Linked DNA regions of Mytilus edulis. Each later gene encodes a partner of the first gene's protein in a complex. Links are inferred from orthologs where the notes say so. Each region holds a gene or a part of one and is shown on either strand. Other genes may lie near its edges.

Region 1 (8,212 bases):
TCTGTAGACCTGTTTAATGAGAAAGCCTTCAATGATTCAACATTTTATTATGTTGTATGTATATATACAAGTAAGTGACCGTCATGTTCTGTAACCACGACCTCAGTTGGCATTGATTTAATTAATAACAATACAATGTATTATATTTTATTATACTTCACGTTAAAATGCAATATTTTGATTGGTTAATACTAGGTTGTTAATTTACTCTATCGCATGGCTGAGCGGGTGAGCATTTTTTTTTATGTGACCCTCTCGTCTAGACCAATCAAAATCGACAATTTAAAGGCATTGTTTGATGTAAATTCGATTCATCAAGGTATTAAAGACAATGCTTAAGTTCTACGTTTTGGCTCAGATTCTATAATTTGACTGAAAATAAAAAAAATAAAACATCTTGCTTCACTTCTGTTGATTTTTCTAATACCTGTAACGTTGTTATGTACATGACGTCATAGAACATACTTTTAAATTAATTCATCTGTAAAAGACAATAATGACTGGACATCCAGTATGATAAAGGTATCCCTCGAAAAAGCATTGTCAACCTTGATGAACAAGATGTTTATGAAATTTTACAAATAACTTCGGTTGATCATTTCTGACCAGTTTATATAAAAATAAGAAGATTTGTTATTACTGAGTACGAGACAACTATCCAGCAGAGACCGAATGGTTTAGAAATTAACAACTGTATGTCACCGTACAGCCTTCAACAATAAACAAAACCCTTGCCGCAAAACAGTTTTAAAAGGTCCCGAAATGACAACTCTGAACCTATCCAAACGAGATACGGCCAAATGAACGAAATAAAATACGATATGCAGCAACAAACAAATACTAGTACCACGGATTTACAGGATACTGACCATAAACAGGCACATACAGTTACTTACAAATAGTTCCGATCCAATAACAACAAAGAAAAAGAGCATTATCTTAAACTAAAGCATCAATCAGTACACACAAAAAATATCAATGGATTTAGTTTTAATACGTCATCAACAGCAGAGACAAACATGACCTTGTGCATTGCCAAAATACGGGTATCAACGGATTGTAGAACCGTGAATGTCTATCTATTATACGTTTTTTGAGATAATAACCAGAAATGCTGAAATTCGTCTTTAAAGCACAAAAAAACTCCATAGTACAAACATTTTTTGTATTACTAGTAAGCCGTTAAAGGTCTATATAAAAAATATGAAATACACAAATTCAAATGGTATACGTCTGTTTCTGTTTAAAAGTTATTTTTTTCGGAAATGTATTGAAAGATAAACTGACATCTCTCTCAATTCAGTCATGAAGATACAATTTACTTAGCATATTTTGCGAGTATATAATTTTATCAATATTGACTTTGTTTTAAAATTTCAAGGAAAAAAACAGTGGAAGATATCGTCTGTATCATTAACTTGACTTTTATTACATGTAAAGACGTTTATTTATCAATGTTGGCTTTTGTTTTCGTTATATTTCTTCATTTGCTTTCAGAAATGTACTCCGTGTTGCGTTGAGGTGCATTGTCACCTGATTGCTATACAAACCTGTGTATATTAGTATATGACCATAAAGTAAATCAAACCTACCGCCTGGTATTCGGATACACTGTCAATTTTCTTCGACTTATAGTTCTTTGCTTCAAAATGAGGAATGCCCCTAAAAAAAGACATTTATTTAAAGTCAGTTTAATTCATGAAATAATGAACGTGCATGCTTTTGTTATCGTATCATGGCACAATGCATGTTGTTTTTTTAAAACACCGAATCTGAATCTGTCTCTTACCTAGGTTTTAATTTGTAAAGTTATATTTATTGGTGCAAATCCCAGTCATAGCGTACCACTCATTAGAACTATTGATTGATTGATTGTTTGATCTCCAGTTGCATCCTAGTATAAAGTTTAAACAGTGCACCATTTTTTAGGGTTCGCTGGCACAATATCCTTGCCCTTACCTGGTGTTACAGTACAACAAAAAATGAACTGACGAAATCAGTTGAAACGGGAACTTCGTGTCCGTATATACTCCATTGGTGTAAAAAGGGAAGAGACGTATGATTGTCAAGAGAATCAGATAACATCGTAAGGAGGCCCAAATAAACACGGCAGTGCTGAAGGAAACAACTTGAGGGGGATCTTATTTTTTTGTCTTAATTCTTTGACTGTTTAGACTTTCTTATGTGAAACTGAAATTTAGAATATGAATGTCAGTTATTGCTTTATATATATATAGTAGATTAGAGTAAAATCAGTTCTAAAGGGTAAACTTCTTTTGCCGTATGACTAAACAGTTCTTCATTATTTTAAGCAAAAACATCATCAAGGTAACGGTAATTATATTTAATTTCCAATTAATTGGTTTCAGACGAATATTTTCTACACTGTGTAAGTGTGGCCATAAACTGTGGATCATTACAATACAGGAACAAGTCGCCATTTAAGAGGGCGCAATTAGTGCCCATATGAAAACCTTCTACCCTTTAGATAAGCATACTGCCGAAACTTACATAGTTTTTGTCAATAATATAATTGATAGCTTTTATCATCTCATTACTGCTCCATTAACAATATTGGCTTTCTTTTACTTTAAGGGTCCCTATACTTTAGAGGTAGGGTTCATTCATGGTAATGGTTAGGTTAGGGGCTGTTTTAGGTTAGGGTTAGTATTTAGTGTTAGGGCTAGTGTTATGGTTAGGTATGGGTAAGGGTAAGATTGGGGTTTAGGATAGTTAAGTATAGCTCTATAAGAGTTGGGACCCCTAAAATAAAAGAAGGCCACAATATTTGTCACATTTACCTCTTTTTTATTAGTACATGTAAAATGATATATGACCCCTTTTTGTTGATTACTGTATTTGTCAACGTAAATGACATAATTACAAAATACTAAGCAAACTCATTTATGCTTTTAATGATATTGATACAATTTATTTCACAATTTGCCATAAGTAGCTTTTCACTGCAGCAAAAGCGTTCCAGATTGTATTCCAGACAAAAGGGGCTATAGGCGATATCCTCAACTTGGGATGCTTGGATAGATTTGAATTAACGACCAGTTAAAATTCATTTAATAGATTAGTATTTCAACAAATACTGTATGTACCAATTTACAAATGATATCTGCACTGAAGCACATACTGTTGTCTCTCTTTCCCCCTCACTCTCATAATCTCTCTGGAAATTAATCGACTAAGTTTTTTATATTTTTTTTACCTTGGATTCTTCACTGGATCAACCACGACGATAATTTTAGAGCTGGACATTCCTTAGCGGTACGCGAAAAACGGACGTTGATTTTTTTCTCCTCCCTCACCCGCATCCACTTCAACTCCCTTCGTTACCGGCTCAACAATGTGACGTTAACGTCTTTGTGATGACCAAGTGTATAGCAACGGTCAAGGAGATCAATGGTGACGTCACCCATAGCGTAGAATAGTTTGGTTATTCTTTATTTATTTCTAAATCTGTATTAGTTGCATTAAACGTACTGATTATCAAGTTTTCTTTGGTTTTGTTTAAAAATATTTTATATTTCTCCCAAAAAAAAATGGGAACGATTGTTGTAAAAATTATAACTGAAACGGCAACTGTTTTAAAAAAAAATATATACGTTTTACTTATATATGAGTTATCAATACACGCGTATAACTGCATCCAGCACTATAATGTTATATATACTACATGTGCTTTCTGGGAAAGACACATGCAGTCTTTTAGAACCTGAAAACTCTGTTGACCATCGAAGGGCGAACTGTCAAAAGAACACTAGAAAGTAATTACTGAACCGTTTATATATGGATTTCCGAAGCTTGTCTTTTTGTTAGATTTTTTCGTTTCGTTGTTACTTTCACATAGACGCGTACCCAACATCCCTTTTATTCAAATGAAAAATGCAGTTTATAGATAAAATCAGTTGTTTTATGCATTCTTAACATGCACTCTAAATTGGAATTTGTAGTTTCAAATTGGTTTCGTTTATCAATAATTTTGCATAAAGGTTGTCCTAAGCAGTTATAATATCAAGGAAGTCTATAAAAGATATCGGTCGATCACTACTAATGAATGTATGGTTTATTTGATTTGAAACAAACATGTTTGAGTTTTGGATATAGTGTATTGTTTGTAGCGGAGAAATTTGTCTTAGTATTTACTGACTTTACTGGTGTGCACGGTAAAAAACATCGATGTAGTGCTATTTCGTTTCGGCAAAAGTTTAAATCTTGCCCATTACAGTACCCGTATAACTTTCCCCGCACTTTCTCCCATGTCGAACTATACTTTGTATCGTTTCAGTGTTGATTTGTTTTTGTCTTTAATATGCATGGATATTTTGCCACTGAACTTTAAACTGAATTTCTAAAAGAAATCATGAGGTTTATACAATGAATTTTACGAATTAATGTTTGTTGAAAAAACCCCATAAAAGTACTAGGTCCGTCCGACATTTCTAAACAGTGTAATGTCAATATTTTTCAGTATAATAATTCAGATATGGATAGAAACTGCACATTGCTAGTAAATAAAGAAATAGTTATGCCAATCACGGTTAAAAACGATAAACTTGATAATAATTTGGTACAAATAGATAGGAAAATGACAAAAAAAGATTTTAAAAACAATGATAATAAAAATTTTAATCTGCTAACCGAGTCCATGTGACACAGGCACTTGTATCAACAACAATAAAATAATATATATATACCTTTATATAACACGGTATATATGTGGGCAGGAAAATTCTGAAACAAGTCGGGAGTGTAGTCTCAGCTGTGCCCTGTTACTTAGATTGAACTCATCGTGTCAAATTATCAGAATATGGGGATTTTTTTTCTTTAAAACGGTGACTTTTAAATTATCTATTGATTCAATATTAAAATTAAATCATTTTCATTTAAATTCGCGCAGTCTGTCAGAATTCACTCACTAAAAGGACGTTATCGGTTATCGGTTATCGGTTATCGGTGATCTTCTTACGGTATTCAGATAGATCGCTTTCCACTGGTTTCTGGTTTCCAATCGATAAGGAACCAGACACGGCATTATCCGGCAACATAAAAATGAAAAAGTCGGAGGAAAAACAAAAACCAGTCACACGTAAATGAGGAAATTATTAAAACATAATTATTGTGTCCATATCTGAATATGTAGATGCTTGTCATTGTATGCACAAGTCTTCATAAGTTAATTTGTAACAGTCATTCCAAAAACTGATCACTATAAAGTGTTGACCGATGGCCTAAGGCTAAGTATAGTAAGCCACCTCTGTTCACTACTAAATCAAGAACAACAGTACTGTGCCAAATAATTTGACCATTCATTCAGGGTGTTTGTATATCTCCCAGTACAAGGAAAGCATCAATATCCCAAATTACTTTCGAAATCATGAAAATACATGCATCATAAAACATTTTATACTATAGGCTAATGATATGGTATCACACAACACAATTTCAGCTTTACCTCAACTGACTGCATAACACTCATTATCCGAATAACACATGTAATGACCGAATAACACTTGAAATTTTAATATTAGCACATATTTGTAACTTTTAAACATTGATTATTAAATAATAATACATTATCGATGTATTTTATAACTTACAAATGATTTGCAGAAAGCAGATAAGTTCATTAAAAACTTTTTAAATTTAGTGTGTACATCGAACGATGGCGGCCACAGAAATCACAATGGCCGCCATGTACGATGTACACACTAAATTTAAAATGATCTTTATGAACTCTTTTTGCTTTCTTTAAATCATTTTTAAGTTATAAAATATATCGATGATATATTATTATTTAATAATCAATGTTTAAAAGTCACAAATATGTGCTATTATAATTTCAAGTGTTATTCGGTCATTATAAGTGTTATTCGGATAATAACAGTGTTATTTAGTCATTCATGATGCGGGATTGCCGATTTTTTGTAAGCGTGACACGTGAAAGTCAAAATATTGTGCCGTGAAAACAGGAAATGAAGTCTAGCGGGACACGGGAAATTACAAAAAAATGATAGTTGCTTACAATAGTGTAAACGGGATACGGGAATCTGACAAAACAGTAAGCGGGATCCGGGATCAGAACCCCCAATGAGACCCCCTTCATATACTAGATATTCCTCCATAATGACGCTTTTTGACGCCACCCCCTTTGCTCCATAATGACGCCTTTTAACGCCTGTGTAGTACCTCAGTTGAAACGCTTTTGACTACAAAATGTCTGCATCAGACTTAAAAAAATTAGCATCCAATATGAAAAGGATATTCATAAGAATATCTGATTTGAATTTCATTGATGAAATATTCATTTTCACAATGCATTAATACTTTAAACCTGATGATTTTTTTTTTATTAAAAAAATCCTATGCAAATCAAGTATGTAAGAAAATAAATTCCACAGAGGAAAGGGTTAACAAATAATGTGTTGTTACTGTTTCAAAAAGTTATTTTTTGAGTTACTTAGGATCAAGTTTTCTTTTATAGCACAATATTATAGGAAATTAGAAAAGAGAAAGTCAGAAAAAAACTACAGCACTGGCTTGCTCTACCTACTCATATTTATGGAAAAGGCCTTATGGAAGAGCCCTATTTCAAGACAATTTTCCCTCAAATATGTTTTCATTTTCAATATTTTCGTGAAATTACAAGTGTTTTTGATGTTTAAATATTCGTATGTAATTAATAGAGGGGGGGGGGGGGGGGTCAAATTTCTCAAATGTGTTTACTTGGGGATCAAATGAAAATAGTGAAATATTATAGCACTGGCTTGCTCTACCTACTCATATTTATGGAAAAGGCCTTATGGAAGAGCCCTATTTCAAGACAATTTTCCCTCAAATATGTTTTCATTTTCAATATTTTCGTGAAATTACAAGTGTTTTTGATGTTTAAATATTCGTATGTAAATAGAGGGGGGGGGGGGGGGTCAAATTTCTCAAATGTGTTTACTTGGGGATCAAATGAAAATAGTGAAATATTATGTATTATGGGGGGGATCAAGAAATTTTATATGTTTGATTTCAAAAAGTCCCTTAATTAAATGATGTTTATTCATGATACATACATAATCATTAAGACTAAAGAGTTTAATTAAATGATGATTATTCTTTTTGAAATGCATATTTTATATACAAATTATAATATCTATGCAACTATTCTTTAAATTTTCAAAAGAAATTTATTTTTAAAAACGAGGTGCCGGATTGTCTTGGTGTGCCGAAATGTCTTCGGACTTGGGTGCTGATAAGTCTTGTTATCAATATTTTTCCTCTTAAATCGATTGAAATCCCTGAACTAAGTGTTTACTGAGTGACAACCAATCTTGAAGTGAAAATTGCAGGTATGTAATTTAACAGGTAAATGAAAGTGAGAAGATTTCAACTGATGTTTCAATCATAAAACGTATAACAGAACTTTGGTAAACAATTTTGAAACAGTGAAGTAGAATAAATCTTGCAAGAAAGTAAAATCCTTTCTCAGTAATTAATCATTTTTATTAGAATAAAAATTTCCAAATTTCTCTCTCGCACACAACTCATGAGTTAGAGTCAGACTAAGACTAAGAGTAATTAGATAATAGACCTTCTTGCTATTTCAGTATTTAGGAATGCATGTAGTTCAGTGGCAGATCCAGAAATTTTTATAAGTGACTGCCTGAGACGGGCCTACTCTGGTCTTGCTTCAGAGATTCCAAATATAATCAACCAAATTTTTCCCAGAAAACAATCTACTCAAACTCAATCCCCCTTTGTAGTTACAGTTTTGTGTTATTTAATTTTGATCTCTGAAATACATAACATGTAATCTTTACAGAAGTTTACACCATAGCCTTGTAAATCATCTTGAAAAATTTCCTTATCTGTTCAGTATGTATTTTTTACTAAAAGAATTATCTCCCCTTAAATGGCTTATTTGAAAAAATGATTTTAAGAACACAAAATTTGATATTTGTTTAAATGTTTTGAGTTAAACAAAATAAATCCACAAGTTTTCCTTATATAAAAAAAACCCCCACAATCTTATCAATAACAGGGGCATACATGTAGCTGCCGTTAGCACATAATTTTTTCACAAATATTTTTTTTTATTGAAAAAAATAATAAACAACGTTATATGTTAATAAAAGCCGTCGAAGTTGTCAATTATCGAATGTCATGTGTACACTAGTCTCTCGTCCTTAGTGAATGGAATATTGGATAGAAT
Region 2 (8,596 bases), on another chromosome or scaffold:
TTAGAAGCTTTATATTTCAGAAGGTGGAAGACCTGGATGCTTCATACTTTGTATATAGATGCTTCATGTTATGAAGTTTCCGTCAGTCACATGTCCAATGTCCTTGACCTCATATTCATGGTTCAGTGACCACTTGAAAAAAAAGTTCAAATTTTTTTGTAATGTTGAATTCTCTCTTATTTTAAGTAATAGGATAACTATATTTGGTATGTGCGTACCTTGCAAGGTCCTCATGTCTGTCAGACAGTTTTCACTTGACCTCGACCTCATTTCATGGATCAGTGATCAAGGTTAAGTTTTGGTGGTCAAGTCCATATCTCAGATACTATAAGCAATAGGGCTAGTATATTCGGTGTATGGAAGGACTGTAAGGTGTACATGTCCAACTGGCAGGTGTCATCTGACCTTGACCTCATTTTCATGGTTCAGTGGTTATAGTTAAATTTTTGTGTTTTGGTCTGTTTTTCTCATACTATATGCAATAGGTCTACTATATTTGTTGTATGGAATGATGGTAAGGTGTTCATATCTAGCGGGCAGATGTCATCTGACCTTGACCTCATTTTCATGGTTCAGTGGTCAAAGTTAAGTTTTTGAGTTTTGGTCTTTTTATCTAATACTGTATGCCATAGGTCAACTATATTTGGTGTATGGAAATATTTTATGATCTTTATGTCAGTCGCGCAGGTTTTATTTGACGGTGACCTCATTTTCACGGTTCATTGCACAGTGTTAAGTTTTTGTGTTTTGGTCTATTTTTCTTAAACTATAAGTAATGGGTAACTATATATGTTGTATAGAAGCATTGTTAGCTGTACATGTCTGCCTGGCATGGTTCATCTGACCTTGACCTCATTTTCAAGGTTCATTGGTCTTTGTTTAGTTATCTTGGTTAATGTTAAGTTTATGAGACAGTTGTAATAAAACTAAGCTTTATACTTAGGACTATCAACATAATATCAATGATTAGTATAGAAGGCGAGACATTTCAGCGTGTGCACTCTTGTTGAATAAATGTGTTTAGTTCCGATGCAAAGACCCTATAAGTGAATCAATATTAACGCCAAAATATGCAATCTTTAATGACCTGTGTTGTAAATGTGTATATTGGTTATTTCCAAGTAAAGGAATATTGTTATTATTGTATTATGAGAGTTTATATGAGTTGTCAGAAGTTATTTCTAGTATTTAGTATATTGAATGAGTAATTTACGTACGTTTTACTTTATGTTATTAGCTGTATCTATAACGTCGTTTATGGGAATAAAGTGCAACTTTGTCATGTATTGTTCAGAACGTTACCGTTGGGTCAATGTTTTAAGCGTGAACCCAAAAGTGTTTTATTAAGTGTTCTTAACTGGAAGAATTGGTATGTCTATATTTGATTATTCATAAGAGTGTATGATTATAAGCATTTTGAGTCGAGGACTCCTATATTTTATGTAAGCGTTTTACGTTATGTTACGCTATGTTTTTCTTCCTGCTTAGAATATTTACTTCCGGTAATTTGAAATAAATACCAGTGCAACGTCACGTTCGTCAGTCTTTGCTGTGTTTACTTTTGGCTTGCAGCAAGGCTCATCCCGGGGGTTCCTAGAGGTAAGAAGCAGCGCATTAGCTGTATGCCTCGCATTTTATATTACAAGTAAGGGTTATAATTTTAGAGGTAAGAAGCAGCGCAGATAGCTGTATGCCTTGCATTTTATTTATAATTTTTTTTGTCATTGAAATATTTAAGATAATTCCAGTTGACCCGTACACGAGAAAGAATATTATTTTAGTAGCTCCGCCCGTATGTAAATTATATATATTATTGTTGGAATATTGTACTTGTATGGAAATATATCGGCTGTTTAATAAAAGTATCATTTTACTATTGACTAGTTATTCACGCTACCAATGATGAGAGAGAACAGACAACAGATTTGACGTCCGTATTTATTTATTACCCCGTGCATTTACTAGTTTTATGAGATATTCGTATTTGCTGGCTTTATAACTATATCAAAACATAGCAAGAAGCAGAAATTACGACAACCTGACAACAGTATCGTAACTATATCCCTTCTTAATAAGTCTATTCAAAGGTTTTGTTAGTTTTTGAGGTGAATACTGACACCTTTGTGCTTTATAAAGAATATTTCCATGAAAAAATGTGAAATACCTGAACGCATAAGATCGTATAAGAAGTCTGCATGTTGAGCTATATTTACGAATGATGTCCTTATACCGATGATAAAATTTAGTAAATGTTTTAACTAGTTTGTGATATCGAAAACCCTGGTGTAATAATTTTTCAGTAATACATAAATAAATTTCTCTCGTTAAAATCTAAAAGATTGTTACATACACAAGTTGAGATATATAAACACCGTAAGATGGTGACAAGGGAACGTCACGGTCACCATCTAAAAATGGATAATTAACGATAGGAAATGAAAAATCATCTCTTTTATCATAAATTTTAGTATTCAGCTTTCCGTTAGTGATATAGATATCAAGATCGAGGAAAGGACAGTGGTCATTGTTAGTATTAGCTTTATTTAAAGTAAGTTCAGCAGGATAAATTTCTTTAATATACATACTGAAGTCTACATACTGAAGTCGTCATTATTGAGAGCCAAAATATCATCCAAATATCTGAAAGTATTATTAAATTTGTTTATCAGATGTTGTTTTGATGGGTCTTTGCTTATTTTTGTCATAAATTGTAACTCATAGCAATACAAAAACAGGTCCGCAATAAGTGGTGCACAGTTAGTTCCCATTGGAATTCCGATAATCTGACGATATACCGGGATTCCCAAAGCGAACAAAAATGTTATCTAGTAAAAATTCAAGGGCATATATAGTATCAAAGCATGTCCAATTGACATAGTTTTTTTGTTTATTGCTACTAAAAAATGACCTAAAAGAGTTTGAACATATATATTCACATTCTGACATTTTAAATGCCCATTTAATTAGGTGTGTGAAATTTTTCTTAATGAGATTGTGAGGCAATGTGGTTTACAGGGTAGAAAAATCAAAACTTTGAACAGATTCAAAATCACCAATATAACTATGCAATTTATCAAGTACTTCCAACGAGTTCTTGACACTCCAAAAGTAATTAATTCCACTATTTTCTTGATGCAAAAGTAGGACAAAAACCAATCAATTATGCGTATTATTAAATAATTACTTGTCTTTATTCATCATTTTAATCGTAATTAAATAAAACCTGATTTTGATAAATTTTATCTTACATGAAAAAGCAATGGTTCCGTGTTCAAAATGCCAATTTTACCGTGTAAGACGTAACTGCAATAACTAACCATATATATAAGAAAGAACGAGGAAAAAGTTCTTGATTTGTGTAATGAAATAAAATCCTTCAAAAAAGATAATCATGATATAAACAGAGTTATTCTTGATATCTATATTACTAACGGAAAGCTGAATACTAAAATTTATGATAAAAGAGATGATTTTTCATTTCCTATCGTTAATTATCCATTTGTAGATGGTGACGTTCCCTTGTCACCATCTTACGGTGTTTATATATCTCAACTTGTACGATTCGCTCGTGTATGTAACAATGTTTTAGATTTTAACGAGAGAAATTTATGTATTACTGAAAAATTATCACACCAGGGTTTTCGATATCACAAACTAGTCAAAACATTTACTAAATTTTATCATCGGTATAAGGACATCATTCGTAAATATAGCTCAACATGCAGACTTCTTATACGTTCAGGTATTTCACATCCATTTTTTTATGGAAATATTCTTTATAAAGCACAAAGGTGTCAGTATTCACCTCAAAACCTAACAAAACCTTTGAATAGACTTATTAAGAAGGGATATAGTTACGATACTGTTGTCAGGTCATTAAAGATTGCATATTTTGGCGTTAATATTGATTCACTTATAGGGTCTTTGCATCGGAACTAAACACATTTATTCAAAAACAGTTGTTGACATGAAACGGGTTATGTTCTTCTCGTATATGTTATGATGGTATGATACTAAACCCCTAACGGGAAGGATTATGCCTGATGTTCATATGATGAAATCATAATCTTTCAGTCAGTTTAATTGAAGTCTGGAGCTGGCATGTCAGTTAACTGCTAGTAGTCTGTTGTTATTTATGTATTATTGTCATTTTGTTTATTTTCTTTGGTTACATCTTCTGACATCAGACTCGGACTTCTCTTGAACTGAATTTTAATGTGCGTATTGTTATGCGTTTACTTTTCTACATTGACTAGAGGTATAGGGGGAGGGTTGAGATCTCACAAACATGTTTAACCCCGCCGCATTTTTGCGCCTGTCCCAAGTCAGGAGCCTCTGGCCTTTGTTAGTCTTGTATTATTTTAATTTTAGTTTCTTGTGTACAATTTGGATATAAGTATGGCGTTCATTATCACTGAACTAGTATATATTTGTTATGGGGCCAGCTGAAGGACGCCTTCGGTTGCGGGAATTTCTCGCTACATTGAAGACCTGTTGGTGACCTTCTGCTGTTGTTTTTTTCTATGGTCGGGTTGTTGTCTCTTTGGCACATTCCCCATTTCCATTCTCAATTTTATTATAACTATTTTAACAAATTTTTACTCGCAGGCAGCTAAGAATTCTTTTGGAACCTTTGCTAATAAAAATCCGATTAAAAAAACTCATTGGGCCAAAATTAGGAATAAACCATGGTTTAATAAATCATGTAAGCTGAAAAGAAAACAATTTCACTCGGCAAAATATAAATATAAAATACAGAAAAGTATAAATATTAAGAAGTCACTGAAAAGAGCAAGTAAGGAATACAAAAAAGAAATAAACAAATGTTTTCAAAATTATCAGTTGAAGACAGAAAAAGAGCTTCGTAACATATCAACAAATAACCCGAAAGAATTTTGGAAAGTTTTAAATAGATTCTCTCCGAAACAAAAAAAGAAAAGTCCAATTTCACTAGAAGTAATGTATGCTCATTTTAAGAAGCTTAACGAAAGTGTGGCAAATGAGGAGGAAGAGTTTCAATTACCTAACCTATAGTTAAATGAGTTCGACAAAATTTTAAATGGGCCTATTACCGAGGAAGAAATTATCAAAGTGATTACAAATTTAAAAAATAACAAAGCCGCTGGATATGATGGAATAAGAAACGAGTTTATTAAAAATTCCATGTCTGTATGTTTATTAAGATTGGTGGTCCTTCTGACACTATGATAGCAGGGAGTTGCAGGGGAATATATGTTACTTATTACAAGAAACATTAAAAATTTATATAGGAGGGTTTTATTACCGCGTGTGTCATTGGTGCTCCAATAACGGAGGAATTTATTTAGAGAAGAAAAAAAGACGGACTATTATCATGTTTGCACGGTAATGTATCTAAAATTGCGTTATGAATCAGGATCAATTACACGTTTTATTTAATACGAAAAAATGCTCACCAAACAAAAACAATTGCTACACTGCACACCGAAAAAAATCGAAATCGTGAAATAAAATGTCGAGCTACCCGCTCATCTTTTGTACCGTTAGTGGCATTATCATTCGACTTGCCTTATTCCGGACCTCTCTCCCTGATTGGATCTCATTGCAACCAGAGGTTTCCACACCATTAACATCATGGGAGCGAGGTAAATTAATATGCAGAGAGGACTTCGGTTGAGCCGCAACTTGAGGGATGCTGAGTTTCATATAATTTTGTTTTTCCTTCCAACTCTTTCACGCTTAAGCTAGTCCAACCTTATCACGAAATTGAAATGTTAAAAGTTCCTTAACTCTTATGAAACAGTAGTCCGAGATTACTCTGACGTCCAACGGCTGTTTTGCCAGACAAGCTGGGCCGTGGGACGTCAGAGCTCGTCCCATATCAAAAAGTGGATATTTGCCCACCCAAAATAGATGCGCTGCTTCGCCGCTTCTGATGCCAACTGACGGCCATGGAATTATATAAATCGGGCATCATTCTGTTCATTTTTCATTTATCTCTATTTATGTAAGTTTCACCTACCTGCCAACCTTATTTTTCCATATTTTAACAGTTTTCACAGTGACCCACGAGAAAACAGTGTTGATTTATGCAAATGACCATAATGTAACACCTCGTTCATTTACGATGCAAGATATCTAAATGTCCGAGAGTTTCCACTTGTAACGTGGTCGGAACTAAATGCTTCATACCGATCTCCTGTAAAGGAGGTGAAAAATCGTGGTTGGCTACTAAATGTAAAACATCGATCTCCTACAAAGGAGGTGAAAAAATATAAATATTTGCATATTTTGAGTCTCGAGACCACGAACTCTCTCGTAACTTGACGTCCATTTGAAAGTGAAAGTCAAAATGCTGAAATCGATGGGTCACTGTGAAAACTGTTAAAATATGGAAAAATAAAGGTTGGCAGGTAGGTGAAACTTACATAAATGAAGAGATAAATGAAAAATGAACAGATTGATGCCCAATTTATATAATTCCATGGCTGTTAGTCTGCATCAGAAGCGACGAAGCAGCGCATCTATTTTGGGTGGGCAAATATCCACGTTTTGATATGGGACAAGCTCTGACGTCCCACGGCCCCAGCTTGTCTGGCAAAACAGCCGTTGGACGTCAGAGTAATCTCGGACTAATGAAACAGGTGCTTCACTGCCATGTCAACATGGCCAATTCAATAGGCATTTTGCTGTGAGAAGAGAAAATAAATTATTTACGATTGACCAACATAGAAGTTAGAACTACAACTAATGATTTCCAAATAAAATAAGCGTAGGCATGTTTTACACCATTTAATGCTTACGTGTTGTATACAGAAAACCTAATTATACAGCCCTTTGACACAGCTTATAAAGATAAACAGCAAATTGACACAGCCTATTGTCAATTTAAACTAGACAGAACATTGACACAGCAGGCAATTATGAATGTCAAATAACTTTGAAGACAGGTTACCAAATCAATGCAGAAATTAGAAAATAGAATGATCAGATCACTGAAACCGAGACGTAAACTATTGTTTTCCCAACTGGCTGCTCTTGCTTTTTAACCATTCATTGAAAACGTTTCTGAATTGAAATTTTCAATTATATTGGAAGAAATACCTTTACATCCAGTTCACAGGTAGAAAACATACAGGTATGCCCTGAAAATCTTTTGATCTGGACTGTTTTTCTAATTTCTAGTTTAATGCACATGAACTTTGTATAGACTTATTTGATCATTCATATGGGACCAGCAATTCCCTTAAGCGATTAAGCCATCCCTGTAATTAATACCTTCTGAAAATTATTAGTTTCAGTGTCATAAAATCCTTTGAATGAATCCTAATCAATTCAAATGTTTTTGCTTTAATAAAATTGAACATGCAAAATGAACTGAGATGCATTGTATAGAATTAAAGTGAATTTAATTTGAATCATCAATATTCAGAGATGTTTATAGTAAGTTTTATATGTTTTGGTGGAGACATATCACATGTGTAAGTATATTATTTCGAAAGCAACAGAGTAGGCTAGGTTGGCGTGGTTATATGACTGCTTTCATAGTTATTCAAGTTATTGTATTACTCTATCAAAGCTATCAGGTCTTTGATTTTTTTTTATATAATTTCATGAATAAACAAAATCTTAACTGTCACTAAAGAACTATGATGTACATGTTTCATTCCAAACTTCTGAAAGACACTGTATCAAATAATTGCCTTTTGTTAAATAGTGTTCTATTATGATGATTATATCAACTGATTGATCCCATTGTACTCAAATGTTATACCTGAAACCCAAAAATAGTTGCCATCACCCTTGTGATAAAATCAAATGTGGGAAGAAACACTGTGAGTGTCACGTGCATGTAGAGTTTCAAAATAAGCCTCAAAATTTGGTTCAGAAATAGGCTAATTATGCATTTAACTTATATTCACAGCGATGGAAGGTATTGCTTTAAAGGAGTATATGATATCGCCTTATGCTGGGGATTTATTTCATGAGGTAATATATACATAATTTAGTTATAATGATATATTAATTCTATATATAAAAAAAAAGTGATGGAATTTTGTGCTACTGTTCATAGGAACTGATGTAAAAAAAAAAACACAAAAGAAACAAGAGTTCATTCAATTATTTTTAATGATGTTTTTTTAAATAGACAGTTAATTTCTACCGAGGTTAATTTTTACTGAGCTGTGTAATAAAGTAAATAAATATATCTAATTCAATAAATGACAGAAAAGTGAGAAAAGCTGTAATATTTGTAACTTTAGAAAGTTACAGATCCCAGATAGATGAAAGCATTTGCATATGATAATGTTTTAGATGACAAAACATATAAACTGTGTTGAAACCTCACAATATACTGTCTTAGTTTTTTTTTACTATAATGTGTTATAATGTGTACTGTTATTAAACTGAGAGATGTATATTTTCATTTCAGACCCCACTAGTTCTAAGAATACTGGGTTTCATGACTTCATTTTCTGACCATACAATCTTACTGATGTTTGTTGTAAGTATATGAATGATTTAAGCAATTTTAAAACTAAATCACACAACAGTTAGGATATAGAAATAATATTTTGCTGTTTACAGTTTGATTGGTTCAATTGTGTCCAAATAA

What was found.
Region 2: the proteins of GPI transamidase component PIG-S-like (region 1) and phosphatidylinositol glycan anchor biosynthesis class U protein-like are in contact, whole or in part, in a cryo-EM structure (PDB 8IMX), measured with the Homo sapiens proteins. The link is inferred for Mytilus edulis from reciprocal best matches to the Homo sapiens genes PIGS and PIGU. Residues at the interface, in NP_149975.1 of Homo sapiens: Ala4, Gly5, Ala8, Thr9, Glu12, Arg15, Arg18, Ala19, Phe22, Phe23, Val26, Leu30, Leu34, Trp35, Thr38, Thr39, Leu510, Leu511, Phe513, Ile521, Tyr522, Leu525, Phe526; in NP_536724.1 of Homo sapiens: Gln118, Phe282, Glu283, His284, Phe285, Leu287, Phe288, Phe289, Cys291, Val292, Phe293, Ile295, Phe299, Tyr300, Ile302, Pro303, Ile306, Lys307, Lys309, Glu310, Thr417, His418.

The regions. Positions count from the first base shown.
Region 1 is NC_092347.1:87,617,776-87,625,987, reverse strand, and holds the start of GPI transamidase component PIG-S-like, read left to right. Parts: upstream 1-4,994; 5' UTR 4,995-5,061; coding exon 5,062-5,098; intron 5,099-8,212. Other genes in the region: stabilizer of axonemal microtubules 2-like, read right to left, coding at 1-9, 1,593-1,662, 3,218-3,267. UniProt on the Homo sapiens protein: Component of the glycosylphosphatidylinositol-anchor (GPI-anchor) transamidase (GPI-T) complex that catalyzes the formation of the linkage between a proprotein and a GPI-anchor and participates in GPI anchored protein biosynthesis.
Region 2 is NC_092348.1:7,151,871-7,160,466, reverse strand, and holds the start of phosphatidylinositol glycan anchor biosynthesis class U protein-like, read left to right. Parts: upstream 1-5,431; 5' UTR 5,432-5,491; coding exon 5,492-5,624; intron 5,625-7,903; coding exon 7,904-7,968; intron 7,969-8,413; coding exon 8,414-8,485; intron 8,486-8,596. UniProt on the Homo sapiens protein: Component of the glycosylphosphatidylinositol-anchor (GPI-anchor) transamidase (GPI-T) complex that catalyzes the formation of the linkage between a proprotein and a GPI-anchor and participates in GPI anchored protein biosynthesis.